Struthio camelus: one gene and its partner. The protein of the gene in region 1 interacts with the protein of each later gene in a biochemical or structural test. Links are inferred from orthologs where the notes say so. Each region holds a gene or a part of one and is shown in the gene's direction. Other genes may lie near its edges.

Region 1 (9,640 bases):
TTCTTGGTGGCACAAACTGATGCTGACATGAAAGGAGTATCTCTTTCATTTAGATCAAATGGTAGTTTTGCTGGAAAAAAATGAATACTGTGTATGAATACTAATAAATGTCCTGTAGCATTTTTCAAAGATTCAGTTGTTAAGGTCTGTGAAAGCAGCATAATGAAGTCACCAATTTTCTTCTTCTAAAATAGCTTTTATTTTCCCTAAGGATTTCAAGGGAAGAGAAGAATCTTCTCCAACTGAAAGAAAACTGTTGTCAACACAAGCCTAAAAAAGTGTCTTAATGGTTTGAAACCATTTTAATGAACTGCTAAACAAAATCCTGAAGGCCAGAAGATTTTGTGGAGAATTTTGGTCTGTTCCTTTTGATCTAGGCTACTGAAGTATTTTGAATTCTTGCAGATGTCCATACGACCTTGTGTAAACTATGAAACCTTAGCAGGCCATTATTCAACAAAGTGCTCAAGATTTTCATTGGGACTTGTATGTGGGCTAAATATTAGATCTTACAACTCCCTGTAATTAGCAGCAATGACTTAAAATGGATTAAGGGACTCAGTATTTCGCCCCATGACCTAACAGTGAGATAGAAAGCACTACTTTAGAAAGATGGCATGTGGAATAGCTGGGAAATTGCTCTGGTGAGCAGAAGAAAAAAAGGGGGAGACGAAGGATTGCCAAACTGGAATAGAAGATAAAAAGCTAACTTTTTAATCTTATATTCCTTAAAAAGCTAACTGCTGCATACACTGGCCTTGGGCCAGACTCCGGATGAGGAAGGGTTCTCCTACCTCTTCTTCCTACTAAAAAGAGAAGTAATGGTTCCAGAGGTAAAGGCCAGGGAACTGAGCATGCAGTGCTAAGGGTGGTAGGATGCTGCTATGTCCTTGAAGGGGAGAAGCACCCACCTACACAGAAAGTGCTGCCAATCTTTTGAAATTAAAACATGGATCAGATGAAACCCAATGACATCATAAAACCTGTTTTTTTGTAGTGTCATGTAATGACACATAGATTGGCAAATGCAGCATTGTGTTGCGTTTAAAACAAAATCAATGGAACCACTTTGTTTTATCAGCTTTTCTCTGTGAGCTCACTCTTTACGGTTTCCATTGAATCAAATGGGTCCATAATAAGCTGAGTTTTTCTCAGATGAAAGATGGATTTGACTGCAAGTTTGATATACAATGATTGAAGAAAAACAAGTTGGGCCAGATGCTGAAGGGAAAATTGAGGCCTAGTCAGCTGCAATGTTCTATAATGTGTGTACCAAACAGAAGCTGTTGTTGTTTCTTCAGGCTCTTAGCTCTTTGTTTTCCAGTGGCAGAAGCTGTTGTCTTTTGTGTCCTCCAAACAGGAGCTAATAATCATCTACTGGATGGACTCATGAGAAGGGTGTCTTGGTTTTGTTGAAGTAATTTTTTTTCCCTAAAAAGCAAGAGCTTTTTGGAGATGCTTTGCAGCTTGTTTCTCCCTTTCCTCTCTGACATACTGACTTGTTATATAGAGGATGCTGCCTGGGGTCCAAGGTGCTAGGTTGCTCTACCTGTTTTGAAGACAGGTAGAATAGCGTGCACAAAGTGTAAATAAAGGCAGGTCTCAGGCAAGGGAAAGTGAAAATTTTATATTGACATGCAGCAAGCTAGACTAAGCTTTAAACTAAGGCTGGGCTGCTTCTCCCTCGAGTCTCCTCTGTCCTGAGAGGAAGGTGCTATAACAGCATATCAAGGCAATCTCCGTTCTTGCTTGCACTGCTGGACAGTCATAAAGAGCTGAAAGAGACTGGTAAATTCAGCCTTTAGAGGTTATTGACCACACAGAGCTCTGTAATGCCATGCTTAAAAAAGCAAGCATACAGAGCTCAAAAATAGAATTCAAGTCAGCTAGTCTGTTCTCAATACTTTTTGCAAACTGTTTATTCCTATGTACGTACTGAACAATTTTGCGTAATAAAGAAGATCTAACCCAACTCCACTAGTGTATGAGGATTAGACATGAATAATAGCTCTATTCAACCACTTCTGAGGATTAGCTTCAAAAATCAAATTAAAATGAAGCAAACCCAAATACACTGAGTAGTTCAATGGGAAGTTGCAGCACCCATGTTCAGCAACCCATCATCTTTGTCTCTCACATTTTATATTATCGGATGAAGTATCAATGTAAGTAGCACTATATTACACTTACTGTGTATGTTAAAGGTAAGAAACTATGTATGGCAGGTAAATATATTAAGGATACAAAACCTTACTTTATATGAGCATTCCTGCTGAAGTCAACAATTATTTATTTCCAAAAGTTGAAGGAAAAAATATGATTTTTATGTTAACAATTTGAGGAAAATGAGATGAGGGAGAGAAGTATAATGATCCGCAACAGGACTACGTTTGCTGTATCTTGTAGAAATGGCCACAGAACTGCATGCTTCTTGTTTTTCATAGCTACGTAGGTCACTATTTTTAATTTTTTGTCTCAAGTGAACTTAAAAGTAAGTATTTAAATAGAGGTATTTGTTTAATAAAAATAACCAATGAGCACAATGAACTATCAAGTGTTCGTCCAAAGAGGTATGCTAAATCTGGTATACAAAATATGCAAATCTATTTCCCAGCAATGGCTACATACTCAATACCTTTTAAATTCTCCTCGGGGTCAAATGCTAATAGAGATATTCATTTTAACATGTAACTGTTGACACGCACACAGACAAACTTGATTTACCAGATGAACAATTTCTGTTGGCTTAAATGAGCATGGAAAATTACACATTGTCAACAGTATGTTTGTGCAGTTCTTCATTCCTTTCATTATACAATAAAATGCTAATCAGAAGCCAGATCAAAACTCTTAATAGAGAGTAGTATTAGAGGTTATTAGTCTAAAATAATAATTACAAATGTAGAACTAAAATACTATTAAGTACTTAAATCTACTGAGATGACAAGCTAATGAAAAAACTCGTGAAGTTTGTAAGCAGTTTCAAAGACTGAGAAAGATATACTTGTGACAGAAACATATGCTTGTGATATGGAGGAGCTTAACAGTATCCCTAATCCAAATTAAGGAAGGAGCAATAAGGTGTTTTTCAGCACAATTCTCTATGAAGATGGTAAGAACATTAATGAAACAGTTCAGAGCTACTTTTCTTGAATACAGTGTTCAGTACTTTTAAAGTAGTAAGCAGAAGATGAAGACTACCCAAAGAAATTGTTAGGAGTGGATCAGGTAATCACAGAAAGATAGCTGCACTTTATAGGAATAAGACATTATTTTCTCTCTAGCCTACACATAATATGGATACTAAAGAACTGTGACAGTCCTACTACAGTACGATTCTGAAAATAAAACGGATTATTGCTCTCCCGATTCCCTGCTGGTTATTCTCAAATTTCATACTGCAAACTTTTTTACACCCTTTTTTTGAAGATGCGCCAATCCACTGATAATTAGCATCCTAGATAGCAAGAAAACTAACAGTAGAGCAATGAAGGCAATATAATGAACACAAACTGAATTCAGTGCAATCAATTTAGCTAATTATGTATTTATACTCCCTGGACAGCAACCATCATGTTTAATAATTCTATATATCCCTGCATTACAGCAGAAAGTCAGTCTAGCAATCTTATTTCTGCTTGTTACTTCACAAGTAGGAGTCTTTCATCACAGATTTCACTACATACATCTGCAAAGTTTTCTTGTTTAGTACAATAAAGAAAGGGCCGTGCCGAGTGTGGGTTCTTGACCCCTGCTACACAGAACAGAAAGCCTCCTCGGAGCTGGAAGCCCAGCAGAAGGTATCGCTGCTTTACGGTGACCAAGTAGGCCAACATCAAAGCAGCAACTACATGAGCAGCTCAGGCATCTCTGCTGGGCTGAATATGCCACTGATCTCGTCATGATAGCTAAAGTATTTGATGCCCCCAGTCCTTGTGCTGACAGCGTGTGTAACCGAATCTTTTAGTATTGTTTTTTCAATATACTGAGAACGTATGTGCACGCTGCTAAAAGCAACGCTTCAAACACCCTTACAGCCTCTCGCACCAGGCCTGCGTTCCTTGTTGACGCGTTTCTCTCCTGGGCCATCACAGGCTTTTGGCTCTTTTGTTAGCCTTTTCCCTTTGCTTTAGGCCCCGCTTTTCCTCCAAGGCACCCTCCTTGTGCCACTTCAAGGAGCTACCTACAGCCCCTCGAGGCAGGTGGGCGGTGGGCTGCCCACCGCACCTTCAAGCTGGTGCGGCAACTGGCACCAGAGCCCAGAACACCAGGACAGCTCGGGACAAGCGAGCTTTATTTTGCCACGTGGCCGACCTGCAGCCGAGCACAGGCCCGGGCACACGCGAGGGGACAGAGGGCGGCAGGGCAGGTGGGTGGGCGAGCGGCCCCCGACGCAGAGCCGCGGGCGGAACGAAGCCTCCCACTGGGCGGGGGGGCCAACGGCCGCCAACGGCCGCCGCGCGCCCCGCAACGTGCGCAACCGCCGCCCGCAGGGTGAGCAGCGGCAGCTCCCGGGGCCGCTCCCTGGGAGAAGCCCCGGCGGGGGATGCCTCGGCGCCCGCAGCCTCCCCGCCGCCCCCGCGGCCCTGCTCGCGGCAGCGGGCGGCGAGCGACGTCGAGGCGAGCGGCAGCGCGGAGGAATCCGAGCCGCCCCCGCCGCCGCCCAACGATGTAGGTCCGGCCGCGGCCGCCATCTTGTGCACGCGCGCAGCCACGGGGCGGGGACTTGTCGTAAGCGGTGCGCGCCGCAGCGCCCAGCAGCCGCCGAGGCGCCTGGGCCCGCGGCCGAGGTGCCTTAACGAAACCCCAGGGCCACCCTCCGCGGTGGGGGGACGCCATAAAGCGGCACCGGGAAGGCGCTGCCGTGGGGAGTTCCAGATCCTTCCCCCCTCCCCCCGGGTCCGGCGGCGGGGCGCATGCGTGCCTCTCGCGAGATCCCGCGGGGAGGGGGGGACACCGCGGGGAGGGGGACAAAGCGCTCAGAGCGCATGCGCGGGGGGGCTGCCCGGTCGCGGAGGCCGTTAGCGCGCCCCCTACCCCCGTTCCGCTCCCTGGCCCTGGGTGGGGGGGCAGCGCCCCGCCCCGCCCCGCCCCGCCCCGCCCCGCCCGGCTGCGAGCGCCGCCCCCGGCCTCCGCCTCTCGGGGCGGGTGCGCGCGGGGCTGGGCTCTGGCGCTCTCGGTGGCGCTGGCGTTTGCCTCGGCTCGGCTCCCTCCCTCTCTCCCTCCCCCCCGGCGGCGCGGGCGCGGGCGCGGCGCGGCGCGCTCCCGTCAGCCTCTACCGGCCACCGGCCGCCGTCTGCCCGCAGTCAGGCTCCGCGCGGCCGCCGCGCTCCGGTCGGGCGCCCCCCTCGGCTGTTTCCGGAGGAAGGAGAAGCGCAGCTGCCCCCACCCCCCTTCTCCGCCTTCCTCCCCCTCCTCCTCCTCTCTCGCTCCCTCCCTCCCGGCCCCCCCTCGGCGCGAGCGGAGCGCGGAGTCACCGCGGCGCACAGACGGGCCCGGCGGCACTCGCACACAATGGCGCTGAAACGCATCAACAAGGTGAGCGCCGCGCCGCGTTTCTCCCCTCTTCCCTCCCCGCCGCTTTGGTTTTTCTTCCTCCCCCCCTCCCCGGCGGAGCGGGGCACGGATGCGCGGCCCGCAGGGGCGGGAGGGCCGCGGGGCCGCCGTTGCGGGCCGGGCAGCGGCCGTCTCCTTCCGGCGAGGCCGCGGTGCTGGCGCGGAGGGGAGGCCGCTCTCCGCGGCCCTTCCTCCCGGCCCTGGCGCTCCCCTCGGAGGTGGCCGGCGGCCTTGCGCGGGGGGTCGGTTGGGGCCGGGGCCCGGGCGGCGCCGCCGCTTCCTCGGCGGCGAGAGGCTGCTCCGGGACGCTCAAATGTCAGCGCCGCCCGGAGCCAGCCCGGCGCGGCCGCGGTGCCGGCGCCGCTGCCCCTCCGCCGTCGTTCGCCCGGATCGGGGCCGTATTTGTGTCGCGGAGGGGCTCTGTGGCCGATTGCGGCCCTCCCCGGGGCAGGGAGTGGGCCTCTCGGGCTGGTGTTTCTCCCCCGGCGTGTAACTTCTTTCCCGCATTGTAAGATGGCGGCGGGTTTGCCTAGTTCAGGCTCTTTCCGGGATCTCTCGCTTTCTGCAATAACATGACACACACACGTCTGCACTCCCGTCAACTCCCGTGCAGCTGCCGCCGAGCGATATTGTTCCAGCCCCGCTTCCCCCTCGCAGCCCGCTCTCCCCTCGCGCCCCCGAGGAGCCGCTTTTTCGCCTCGGCCCTGCCTTGGCGAGGGGCGGAAGTGTTTTGTGTGATGTGCTGCGAGGGTTTGTTGTTGCACAATCGGGCCGGGTGGAGTAACTTCACAGCTAACTCGGAAAAAATGTCGAGGTGATGAAAGTTTAAACCTCTTGCAGGGGAGAAGGTTACAGACATGAGGTTGTGCATGGGCAACCTGACGGTTCTCCTTGGTGCCAGTTGTGGACTGTGCAGGTTTAGTGAGAGCGCTTCCAGTTTGTAAATCACTGGGCTGTAATTACAAACGTGATGAAAGCACGGCGGCTTCACCGTGACATCGCTGTTGATCTGTACCTACGCATAAGCTATCTTGAACGTTTAAATATTTCAAGAACTGAGAGGAGCTTCTTGGTCATCTCATAGTCTGCCAAGATGGCAGAAAGCCATAGTGTCTTGAAATCGGTGAACTAAACTTCGGTGCATCAAACGCCTTTTATATGCGGTGCGTACAGCTCATCGCCTTTTACTCTGATTTCGTGTCTTTGGGGTAGTGTTTATAGGCATCTTTTAGTCGAACTGAGTCAAAGTGAGGTAGTGTATTAATGTTAAAGGATAATTACATTATCCCTAAAAATATAAACTCTCCTCTGGACTATTATTAGCTAAAAGAATTGTCTTCGTATTACAGCTGCACTCTCACAAGAATTCCAAAACAATTCCTTTTGAATCTGACATCAGAACTTGTTCCCTCTATTAGTGGATGATATCACTTGAGTTGAAACACAGCTAGGATACTCCCTGGTATGCTTTGTCAAGTTATGCTTATGAAATGCCTTCAGGCTTCTGCAGGTAAGAATTTATTGTCAAATGTAAGCCAAAGCAAACCCTCACGTAGTAATCTGATGGTTGAAACCGTAAAATGATTCGGGATAACTTTTGAATCAATACGTCATCTCTTTGCCTTCAGCATTTTGGCCTGTCTGTTGTGTGCAGTCTCTTGTTCTGTGTTGGTCCTTATGATCCACAGCAGTGTGTACTAGCACGCTTCTTCCTTTACCCAGTGCCAGCATTTAGGATTAGTGGGATGGATTTTTTTTTCGTTTTTGAAGTTGCTATTTTTAATTGATTTAATCACACCATGCTACAAGACATGCTTCTAAATTCACATGCGGTTTACAGTGTTGATTTTGTATTTGTTAGCCTGCAAAGTCAAAATGATGATATGTTGATAGATTGAAACCATTACTTGCAAGCTGCTTTATTCCAAAGTATGCTTTCTGATACAAATATTCACCGGGATTGAGGCTAGAATCCAAAAATAGGAGGACCAATTTTGTAATGAGGTTGTTGTGAATTTAGAGTCTAATCTTGCCAACCGGTAAGGCCAAGAGAATTGCACTCTGTCACTGGTGAGCTGGGATCCCCTGTCTTCCAGTAGTAAGGTCACAGATCAGACCTTGAAACTCTGTGCTTCCTTGTAGTACGTTGTTGGCGCTAAACCAGAACAGGCTAAAGAGAGACCAGGACCTCACAACATTGTAATCACAAATAGCTGATTTAGTCTGACTTTCAGTATTATCCGTCAGGGCTAGAATTCATTGTCTCGTGCAAAAGATGACACCCCAAATGTACTGGTGGAGGTATATTCAGTCTTTTTGACTCTTTATGGACTGGCATTTCAAGCAAAATAAAATTCTTTGAAAGTCTAATTTATCAGATATAATAAATTGTATTAGAATGTGTAAATTTAATCTGAAGTATGTTATACATTCAGAATATAAGTATCCCCTACTTAAAGTATAACTGACAAACTTGAGTTTTGACTTGGGAATTAAAGTACATGAGTATTCATGTATTATATATGAGACTATCTACTGCTGGAATACGCTATAACACTCTCTTCAAACTGAAATAGTTGTCAGGTATATAGCCAGTCCCAGAAAGATTATATTATGCTGGATCACAGCTTTACATCCGTGCCGCTGCCCTGAGGGTAACTGGCAAATAATGGCAAAGCTCTGCTTTTATTGATATGGTTTGCTTTGCGAGAGGGTAGCGGTTGTTTTATTATACCAATAAAGTGCTTTTGCCATGGAATAGTCTGAAAACAACATCTTAATTTTAACTATATCCTTTACTGAACACGAAGTTTTACAGAAACAGGATAAAGGCAATGGAACAAATTAATTTATCAGCTTCGTATAAATACATGATACCTGCTTGTTGCACCTTGTCTTAGTCTCAAGTGTTGAGTGGTACCTGCTAAACGCACGTTCCATCATTGCTGCAGTGTGTTGGCACTTCCGGTTTGAATTGCCATTCAAATTCCGGTTCCATCTCTGCAGTAGAAAAAACAAGAACTCTTCTGTAGAAGAAGTAGGAAATCTGGAATGCATAAAACTGATAAAACTTGGGGAGGTTTCATCATTGATACACACATCCATTTCATCATCATTGTTGTACGCATCGATTGGAGTGAAGCAGTATAAAAGGCCTAAATTATGATCTTGATAGGATAAAAATAGATTGTGAACTAACAAATACAGGAGATGTATGTATGAAATGTCTCATCTGCAAAATGCCTGTTTTAAGAAGACTTGTGCCTGCTGTGTTTTGTGTCTACTTGGTCAAACATAGTACAGGTCAGCATCGTTAAGCAGAGGCGTTCTATTAGAAAAGCTGAGGTGGAGTTGGCATACTGGAAGCTAAAGGCTGAAGGTGGCAAAAACATTGTTTATCTTACATTTTTATATTTTTTCAAAATCTTTTTTATCTTCTATTTTTATCTATGTACAGACAGAGGCTTCCATTGACAGTCATAGAGTGCAGTCTAAATAACAGTTTTCCTCAAGTTTACAACCTCTAGCACTATTCCTAGATTATACGATTAAATGCAACTTTACCTACTCCCCCAAATAATGAGAAATGCTACTAACCCTGGAGGCATTCACAATATCTTTCAGAGATTGGATGTAGTATATGGTGATGAAGGCAGTGTGGAAATCTGCATTAGTTTAACCAAAGTTGTAGCTTTTGTAAAGTTGATTCAGTTAAAATGTTATAAAACTACTTACTGCGCTTGTTTTGCTTTGAAGTATTATTTTCTTTTCAACTTGGAGAGGACAACTCTTAAAAAATATATTTTTTAAAATTAAAAAAATAACTAAAGCCATTGGGTGCAGCTAAGTTTTCTTCTCTGGATGGAAACCTACGATGCTTAGTTTTTGCAGGCAGACTTAGTGTGCTGGAATCATTCAGAATAGTTAAATAACTTGAAGCATTGCGTTATGTGACTTGTCTTATTCATGCTTTGAATGAATGCCTAGAAATAAGTCTGAATTGGTCTACTTGGGGCCTCAGAAAGTTAATTAGTTAAAGAAATGCAGTTGATGAAAAAATACTTAGTTAAAATTCTTTAAACCT
Region 2 (10,401 bases), on another chromosome or scaffold:
CTATACTGCCATGTTGTCTGAAAACACTTCAGAAAATGGATGTCAAAGCAGGTGATACTGCATGTTTCCTATCTGCAATACCATCCTGGTGTCTACTGTCCCATCCTGAGTGAACTTAAGGATGAGAGTAATTAAAATAGCAATTATAACATTCAAGGTGGTGTGCTTACTTTTAATTAACATTTCTTTCTAAGACGTGGTACTAACAACTCTCTCTTATTTTCTCTCTTTAGGGAGAAAACGCTGGTGAATCCATAGAAAGAAACTCCTTCTCACATACATTTATTTAGCCTATGTTATCGACTTTTAAAGATTCAAAAAAACATTAAGAAGCACTATTGCATGTGAGTGCTATTTCAATTGCATAGCTGAAAAGTGCATTACAAGCCTGACCTAATCCTGCATTCCTTGTGATATCAACCAGCAAAGACATCACACTGGGAGATCTAAATTTACAAAGAATGAGAGGCTAGACTTCAAGCAATAACATTTAACCCAGTTATCTTCTTAACACCATATTGTTATTCCTTCCTCAAGAGACAAAGAGATGCTGCCACACTACACGGTTACCTGTTGTAGCCAACACGAACACTTCTGTGTGATATATATATGCAACAAGAGAAAAAAGATTTAACTGTGAAATTGTGTCTGGAAATCTTGCTCATGTGACCCTTCTCGCACAAGCAAACCTTAAAGGACATGTTAATCCAGAGATGTTTTAAATTTGAATTGAAAACTTCCAGACTAAAACATTATTATCTTAACTGGAAAGCGAAAATATCTTCACTTCAGTTGTTGAACTGTTTCACTGCATAGCATGAAGTACTCTTGGCTCTTTTTTAAAATAATAACAAAACCATTTGACTTGTAGATCAAGACACTTTGGTGCTTGTTAGCTGGTACATGCTTCGCTAGAACACTTTCATCTCCTAAAGTTGCAATGTTACCAGGTCCTAACAAGAGCTCCAGAGAGGGAGCTTTCCTGAGTTGCATCAGCCTTCTAAAGGATTCAGAAGCAGAATTTTTCTCAGATGCTAAAATTCACATTGATCAATTTTTAGGAGAAAACATTTTTATGAAGTTTGTTTTGGCTGTTCTTTGCTAGTCTGTTCTATAATTTTCTTACTTTATTTTTTATTTTGCTATTTTACCTATTTTTATTCCTTTTGCTTTCTACAGGAGAAATTGTTGTAATTTGTGCTATTCTAGCATTCAGAAAGTCTACTTGTAAAATGAATAACATGCCCTCTAGTGTAAAAGAAGCTGCGTGCACAGCAATTACGATATTTCACGTGGGTATAACAAAAACTATAGGACTATACTTCCAATTTTTCTGTCTCCTTAAAGACTTGTATGTTCTACTGAGAGCTCACGCACAGGTCTGATATATAAAGTTTGGGGACTATGCTAACTTTCCAACAAGTGGTGGATGCTTTAAAGAGTTTCAGTAGAGAATTCCTCTTTTTAAATATCACCCTGAGCTACAGGCCTCACTAGTGTGCAATTTCCCAGGAAACATCAGTGCAGAACCACTCAGCAAGTTTTGCTATTGATTACAATAGGATCAGGGCTTGGAGTACAACAACTACTAGCTTTAATCGTCAGCTAGGAGTCTGATCAGTGCCCTAGCTGGATCAGGAGAGACAGCAGCACCTCTGTGCTCTACCAAAAGTGTTTTGATGAGCTTAGCTTCCCAGCAGTTACCATATACCATCTAGTGATACCAAAGGAAACCATAATTTGTAATTCATTAATCTTTAAATGAAACATATAGTAGGCATTTTGCATTCCTTTTACTAAAATAAAAGGTAGTCATATGTGCTATCTCCTATGACTAATATTTTCCATTTCTCAAGAATCTTGACATGTATTAGTTTTTGAAAGGATTCAGCTTCTGAAGATGTACGATTATATAAGAATATCAGCTTTAATTAAAGTTAAAACAAAGTTTCTGCCTTATAGCTAGAGAATTACATACAAAATTATAATCTTAGAGATGTAAAACTCAGGGACTAAATTTAAAGAAACCCAAAACCTAACCTTACTATTTTTTAAAACTTCAAGATTTTGAACATCCTGCATCATGTTTTTTTTAAATATTAAGTTAATAGTGTCTGTTGATGGGGAGGAAGTCAGAGAGAGAGAGAGAGAGAGAGAGAGAGAGAGAGATGATTCTGACAGCTGGGATAACGGCAGAAGACAATGTTATGCTATGTGGAATTTTGCTGCCACTAAATGAAAGCAAAACCATCAAGATTTTTTCCTGGGAATTTGCAGACAGAAAGGGTACTGATCCAATGAAAGCCACAGACCAAAAGAACTGAGGAACACAATTCACCCTCACCTCTTCTCTTTTCCCAGTTCTCCTCCTCAGCACTATTCAACTTTCTATTTGTAAAGCCAAATGGGATTTTCAGCACAGACCTAAACAGCACAGACCTCCGAAAACTGTTACACAGAAGTGTATTTGGCACTGGTTGCTACATATCTAGGTTATGTAAGCAAAATACAGACATTACATGAAGTACACTAGTTGGATTTTCATAGGCCGATTGTCGCCTTAACACTTTGTTTTCAACCTACAAATAGTGACTAGAAATCAGTTTAGCTACAACTCAGCAAGACTGTAAGTGTAGATGGATGAGGCAGACATGAATTTGCATAGTTTCAGTCAAAGTGAAAAACTACTTGTAAACCCAAGACTATACTTTGGACTCGTGTTGATCAACCTACAAGTCTGCCAGGCCCTTTTGCACATCACCAGAACTGCAATTGCAATTCAAAGCAAATGTAATTTTGTCTCACTGATAGCATCTTGGGCACTGCTTTTACACCATTTGCCAGTGAATGCTCTAGAGGGCCAGGACTGTCAGGTGCCAGGGCGAGCAAATGACAGCGATAGTCTAATATTGGCTTCACACAAGAGAATTCTCTGCCTAGCTGAACTGGCTGTGGGCCACTTTGTACTGTAAGCATGCTTAAAACTTGTAGGACAAGGGACAAGCTTGTGTCACTGGCTGTAAAAACTAAATATATAATTAAAAAATATTCTAGAAATTGTCCATGTATTAGTCAATCTTCAATGCCACGAAAAATAAAAAAAAAAAAATCACCTTAATGAAAATGCTAATGTAACATGGGGATTCCGTGTTAGGCAATAGCTTAGAGGAAAGGAAAGCACCGAGTGATAAGCAATAGCAGTTCATAAAGCAAATACGTTATTTAAACAAGACCAGGATTCGCTTTTAATGTAATGACAGATTCGGAGCTCAGTCTTCTACCCCTCCGCTGGCTGCTAGCGCAAAACAGCCAAAAGTACGTTTGGACCTCAGTGGCACATTGCCAACTTTACATCTTTCTCTGTTCAGCACAGAGGGTGCGTTGAAGGTGCAGAAATGCGGAATGGGGGGAATGACACCACACATCATACGCTCCTTCACTGCTAGTGCAACTTGGAGCAGTTCTGAGGTTCTCCTCACTAACTCCCAAATCACAGCAGAAGGAAACTGTTTTCTCCTGTCTCTCCTAAACTGTGGAAGTGCAGTGAGGATTGAGACCTTAGTGACTATAACACATTGTCATATCAGCAATTCTATACAGTATCACATACTTTTGAAGAAGCTGGAAAAATACTGGATAAATAGAGACACTGAAACACTGAAATATGGATCAACAGTTGTCCATTGTCAAAGTATCTTCAAAAAATTAGTGGTGGAACCTTAGAAATTTAACAGGGGAAGTGGTGTCTTTTAAGGATTAGTCTGCTCAGCCTTTACTTTTCCATCCACTGTACTCATAAATAATTTAGTGGCAAGCACCAGACATCAATTCCAGATTGATTACATTGTAGATAACGGCAAAAAAAAAAAAAAAAAAAAAAGAGAGAGTGCAGAACTGCAAAGCAAGCAGAAGCAGACAGATATAGCTGAGGTGGTTTCAGTTATAACAGACAGGTATAAACTAATACATGGTTGGAAAAACATCTTTGGAATACATGGGATGTTTTCATGCCAAAAGCAGTAGTACAGAAAAAGACGGGCAAAAAATACATATTCTGACTGAAATAGAAGTCAATAATAGCAATTGATAATAGCGCAGGTAAAATTTTAGGAGGGATAATCTTAACAGATCTTAAGCAGATCATTTTTGATCCCCTTATTCCAATCTATTCAACTAGGTACTTTTGTTTATCTCTTTAGGCCAGCAGCATGTAATGCACTTAACTCTTTGGTTACTGCCTTTGGCACAACGTGATATTTACTTTAACTACTATGCTTGCTCCATAATTCATGCAGCATAAAGTAAAATTTTGCATTCATTAGTGCACTTTCTCAAATTGACCTGCAGCTGCAGTAAGCTGTCATGAACCTATCAAAACGCACCTATGGATTTTCTTTTTTAAAAGTACAGTTTTCCGAGATGCTTCTTCTCTTATGAACCTGAATGCAATGAGAGTAGCTTTGCTTCAACTCTTTAGATCCCTTAAGAATCCAGACTTACTTTCCTTTTTTAGGTCAGATTCCAATTGAAACCAATGGGAATTTGACCTCAGTAACTTCAACAGGATCAAGGTCTGGCTAGTCAAAGGATTAAGCCTATTGTTGCTGAACAAACTCACTGCCAAAAGGTTTTATTTTCTTTTTTTTTAAACCTCTATTATTTGACTCAGCCTCACAAGGTCCTCCTTAAATAGCAGTACAGGTTGCCACATAAACGTGTCCTTGAATACAATTATGTCACTTCTGTTAAATGCAGTGCTAATTATAGACTCCTAAGAGTTTGGTGGTTTAAAAAATACACTTTTTTTTAGTATTCCAGATTAAATTTAGAATTTAATACTCTTAGATTTTTGATCTTTGTTATGTTCTCTGGTGTCTGTGACTTCTGGGAGTTGAAGTATCATCCAAAACCGCAGCCAAACACCACTTCCAGGTGTTCTACCAAGCTCTGACTACCTAAGTTCCCGCATTTTGTCAGTTCTGCCTCCGCGCGCAGCGACTGCTTTGACACACAGCCCCTGATCCCCTCAAAACGAATACCGTTCCAACTTAAAGGACGTGTGGATTATCTCCTCTCACCAAGGTTCAGTTGCTTGCTGCGGGCAACAATTCCTGAGGGATTATTTTTGCAGGCCAGCCCCTCGCACTTAGGCCCGGGCCAGGCCACAGAGGAGCACCCACCCGCGTCTAGCAGGTCCCGTGCTACCTGCCGCAGACCCTCGCCGCAGAGCAGCCGGCCCACGGCCCAGGGCGCTGCCTGCGGCGCAAATCCTGGGCCACTCGAGGCTGTGACTCGGCCACGCTGCCCGACCCCTGGTATTTCTGGGCAAACGAGCCGCACGGGCCGAGCTCACGGCCCGGGGAAGGCCAGCCGGCCCCTGCCCCGTCGGCTCCTTGGCCTCCCCGGCGAGCACAGCGCCCGCTCAGAGGGGCCTTCGGGTCCCACAACCCTGCACCAGCCCCTCCGCTCCCGCGTCTCCCCCGCTGCCGCGCCCCAGCCGCGACCCTCGGGCCTGCCGAGCGCACCGGGCCCGCACCTGCCCCGCCGGGCCCACCGGGCGCGGCCCCTGCCCAGGCCGGGGGCGGCGCGGCCGCCGCTGCCATGGCACCGCCGCGGGGGCGGGGCGGCGCCACGGCGTGGCGTCACGGGAGCGCGCCGCGCGTCCCCCCCCCCCCGCCTCACCGGGGCGCGCGGCGCGGCCCCTCCCCCCGCGGCGTCACAGTGGCGCGTTCGGCGCTTCCCTCTCTCCCCCCCCCCCCCGCGCGTGACGTCGGCGCGTCCCGCTCGCCCGGCGGCGGGGGCCGGAGGAGGCGGCAGGTGACGGCGGCGGCGCCTGGGAGCGGGCTGAGCGGCGCGAGCCGGCCCGGCGGGTGAGTCCGTGGCGGCGCCGCCGCGTTCCGACGCCAACGGCCGCGAGCGCGGAGGGAGGGGGAGCAACGGTCGCTCCGCCAGCCCCCCTCGCCCCGCGGCCGACCGCCCGGGGCGGGGGGCGGCGCTGCTCCCTCCTCCGCCGGCGGCTCTCCCCGCTCCGGCGAGGGAAAGGGCGGGCGGGGGGCGGACGTCGCGGCCTGCCCGCTTCCGTCGGCGGGCGGGCGCCGCCGCTGGACAAAAGGCCCGAGAGCGCGGCGGCGGCGCGGGGCCGGGGAGGGGGGGACCCGGCGGCGCTGAGGAGCCGGCCCCGCCCGCGGGGGAGGGGCGGCGGGCACGCCCGGGCCCGGGCCTGTGTTATTGTTTGGGCGAGAGCAGGAGCAGCGTCCGCCGCCTGCCCCCGCCCGCCGCCGGCGCGTCACGTGAGGGGTGTTTTGGGCCGCGGTGGCGCAGGGTGTCCAGAGCGGCCTCGTCCGCCCTGCCCGAGCCGGGCCTTGCGGCGGCGGCGGCGGCCGGCCGGGACACCGCGCGGATCCGCCTCCGCGCGGCAGACGGCGGCGCGCTGCGAGGAGCCGGGAGGTGGCCCCGCTGGGCGCCGCCGGGCTCGCCCCACCTGCTGCCCGTGCTGTAAGTCCCCGCCGTGTCCCCTAAGCCGCCGCTTCGCCGGGCTCTGGCGGCGAGCGGGGGGCCTCGTCCGGCGGACGCTTTTTGGCCTTAACTTTGCCCTCAGGGAGATGACAGTCTTAAATCTGTGTAAAATGAAGTGCTTGATGTGTGCAGCATCAGGGCCTCAATTCCCGGGTTTCATTTTGTTCAGTAACAAAATAGGTCAGGAACGCGCGCTCTAACTTTACGTGTTGCAGAATCCCTCGACCAGAAGAGCCATGTGTGGTGTTTTAAATAAATCTGTGGCATGTGTTCTCACTCTTCTTGCAAAATGTCTTTGCTCTAGCCGGGTTACTTTCATTACCGTAATGAGCTTTGTGAAACTAGAATAGAAATCATATGAATATTCTTAGGAGTACAGTAGGAAGCACATAAAAAGAGGTATGCAGTGGTTTTTAATGGAAGTGCTTTTGTTTCTTTGTGCTTGATGGTCTGGGCTCTCGTATTTGATTGCATCCTTTTAGAGTGTTTAAATGGGACATGAAAATAGGTCCAGCTCTTGCTGCAATACATATTGCCACCACTGAAGAATTATTACAAAATATTTTGTAAATAAGAGTTTTCATACAAACAGAGTAGCAGTGCGCATCAGAATGGTCGAAAACGTGGAATTTCACAATTAAAATAAAACCCGATAAAAGTTTGTGCGTGTGTGTCTCAGGATAACCCTTGTGTTATATGGACTAGAAATACTGTAGGATTTGTTATTGGTATTTGTAGTATGCAAGTATACATAGAAGAATTACAAGCAGGAGTAGGGAGTAGAGCTTTAAACTGTCTTGATCGTCAGATTTGTAATACTAAAAATACAGTCCTTCTGCATTGTTAGCTGCTCCCTGTGTTCTCAGTGGACTAACTAATTGTGTTTTTAGAGACACTTTCAGGACTAGTTTTATCAAAAACGAACTGTTGTAATAGTATTGAGTATGTAGTGAAGTCTGAATTTTGATTCAGTTGTTTCGAGTAATCTTAAATACTGAACTTTTGCAGAAACTTGCTTTATTGTCTTGTATGGTTAATATTGTGGTTCCTTTCCAGCTGAATTAAAGCACCAGTTTAAATTGCTGTAATGCAGAATTTGTGCTAAGTGAAAGAAAAAGTTGTGTTCTTTTTGTTTCCCTAAAAATATTCTGCATCAATTTAGATGTAATTGAATTGTCATTTACTTAGAGAGATGGAACTGCAGTATTTTTAAAGACTATTAAACAATGAACTCCTGTAATTGGTGGGGAAAACGTCTTTTTATTAGAATTGATTTCTGCCCCCCCCCCGCATGTTAATTGAGTCTAAAGCTGTTCTTGTACTTGCCTTCTGTTCCTGAAGCATCGATCAATTGAGACAAACCTATTTCTGCTTGGTTTTCATACAGGAATTTTGATACAATATCATTTTATTTCTGAGTGGAATCTATTAGATATATTGAAATATAATATATGATCAAAATTCAGAATCAGTGTTCCCGTTGCAGCATAGCAGGAGGAATTCATTTGGAATAAATACATGGCAATTTCATACCAAAACAGTTGACTGTTCTGCACTTTGATTTTTTTTTTTTTGTGATTCAGTTCCAAATGCGTATATAAGGTTTTTAATTAGCAGATCACAGGCTCCTTAAAATCTCATCTCATCAGTAATTCCTGAAGATTTTCTTTGACTAAGTTTCCGCAGATACAAAAAAGTGACTGGCCATGAATAGGAAACAGTGAGGTGGTTTATCTGTTGTGCTATCAAATGCCCAGTGACAGATAAAAAAAAAAAAAAATCTGATAGGCTCAGGAGCTTGAGCTGATAGTATATCGACAGTAACAGATTTTCAGATAGGAGGATGATTTCCCTTTTAGAAAACAACCATGTTTTTTCTTTCCTTCCACAGTATTTGTGTGGCTTGTGGTGACTTGTAAGGAGGAGGGCAGTATTCTGTGATATTCTTCCCCTGCTGTGCCCCCTGCCCCCTTGACATGTGAGTTAGGGAGCTTGCTGAAAATTTGAAGTGGTTATTTGCAGCAGCTTCTTTACTTTTCTGAAATAATGGTGCCGCTATTGAGTTTTCAAACTATGGGGAAAAGCGATGAATTTGTGATAACTACTGCAGAATCATCTGTACGATGTTGCTGATTTTATGAAGTCGTCTATCATTTGCTATAGGATTTAAATAACTGTCTTTGGCAAGCAAGAAGCTAGTTTTGTTTCACTTTACCAATATGTGCATTTTGGGTTTTTTAGAGGAGAAGGGGCTAGCTTATTTAAATAGAGCTAAGCTTTTATTTACAGAGAAAGTTTCTTGCTCTTTTTTAGGTCTGTAGATAACATTACATTTTCATTTAGAAGTTTGCTTCTTAAATATGAAAGTTTCCGGTTTTTATTGTTGTTTTTTCCTGTCACTCTAGTTTCCAAAGTAATAGAAAAGAGAAAAAAATGTCTTGGGTCTGCTTGTTTACTGAAAATCTGATGGGTGACTGAACTGGCAAGCAGTGGTTTCATGCCATCTTGGCCTAGTAAAAGCATGACTTTTTCCTATCACCTCAAAATGATTTGAGGTCTGTCTTAAGGAAGTTCACCACTTCCAAAATCTTAAATTTGTGAGGAAGGAAGAAGCTGACGTGACTTCTCCTGGTCAGCATCCTGAGCGACTTTCAGGGGTGCATAGAGACTAGCTAAAACACTTAAGCGTGAGTTTGGGAGCAGTTGTTGCCCAGTCAGTAGCACCAAGTTTAATTTCTTGGATGTTGCTCCTGACCAGTGGGGTTCTCCCTAGTCTGTTGTGTGTTGAATGAAGGCTTTCAACAGCAGGACATGAGAGAACTTACGGATTTAGTGATTGTGCATGAGGAAGGGGTTCTTGCAGACCGCTTCAGATAGCGTAACTTCTCATACTACGTGCTTTTCTAAAGCAGACAGAAAACTAATTACTGGGTATAGAACACAGCTCTTACCCACTGAACTTTAAAGGAGTCAGAGTTCAGGATGGGGTGTGTGTATAACGGCAAGTGTCTTTTATCCTCTTTAGTAAACTTCTCAAGACTGGCTCATTAAATAAATAACAATTTAATGAAATGTGGAGGTTACCTGAAGTCAGTTTGTGAACTAGTTCTTTTTAAGAGTTATACAGCAATTAGAAAGTTGCCTTACTGTAGTCATATAATTATACCCTAATTGGATTCCTCTGGGTATAATTACATGCCTTGAATATGTGCGCACATTTTTATTTCCTAAGAAATATGCCAAAGTTGACCCAGCTTCTTTCTCACGTTAACATTTGCTTGTGTGATGTGCTACCCCTAACAGTGGATTGTACGAGGTAGTCGATAAAAGGCTTCTAGTAATACCTACAGAAGTAAAAGAAGGCCAGCATCTAAGATGAAGGACTAAACACCACACCCACACCATCAAGCTTGTTGCAGCTGTCTCTTTGATCGTAGCAAATGCCCTAACCAGTCTGAGTGGATTAGTAGAGCCAAAATCTTAATGTGATTGCAGCTCTTAATTTTAGATTGATGTGTGAAGAAAGGGGAGGTCACTTGAATGATGAGAGGAGAATCTTAACCCTTTTAAAAAGGTGTTGGGGCAAATGGGTAGGCATGTTAATGTTGCATTTTTTTCCTTAGGAACTCCTTCCAAAAATAGCGACACTGAATGCTACGTGGAAGTGAGCTATATAAAAATATTTTGAGTAATGTATCTCTCACTGAAGTCATCTGAAAAATTTTCGTCTGCTGCTATCGGTGATAAATGTTCAATCATTTCATGAACTAATATAGCATGAAATACTATCATCCTAAATGCTTCATGTTCTCCAAGAGAGTTATCGCTCCTTGACTTTGCTCTGCTCTGTACGTAAGTCTGGACTGTGCACTGTGTTTGTGGTAA

Evidence for each region.
Region 2: the proteins of UBE2D3 (region 1) and RNF146 are reported together in a solved structure, tested with the Homo sapiens proteins (2 studies listed by BioGRID, with this or other methods). The link is inferred for Struthio camelus from reciprocal best matches to the Homo sapiens genes UBE2D3 and RNF146.

Annotation. Positions count from the first base shown.
Region 1 is NC_090945.1:26,887,382-26,897,021, forward strand, and holds the start of UBE2D3 (ubiquitin-conjugating enzyme E2 D3), read left to right. Parts: upstream 1-5,095; 5' UTR 5,096-5,514; coding exon 5,515-5,538; intron 5,539-9,640. UniProt on the Homo sapiens protein: Accepts ubiquitin from the E1 complex and catalyzes its covalent attachment to other proteins. In vitro catalyzes 'Lys-11'-, as well as 'Lys-48'-linked polyubiquitination.
Region 2 is NC_090944.1:69,252,135-69,262,535, forward strand, and holds the start of RNF146 (E3 ubiquitin-protein ligase RNF146), read left to right. Parts: upstream 1-5,702; 5' UTR 5,703-5,870; intron 5,871-6,293; exon of another isoform or gene 6,294-6,495; intron 6,496-10,401. UniProt on the Homo sapiens protein: E3 ubiquitin-protein ligase that specifically binds poly-ADP-ribosylated (PARsylated) proteins and mediates their ubiquitination and subsequent degradation. May regulate many important biological processes, such as cell survival and DNA damage response.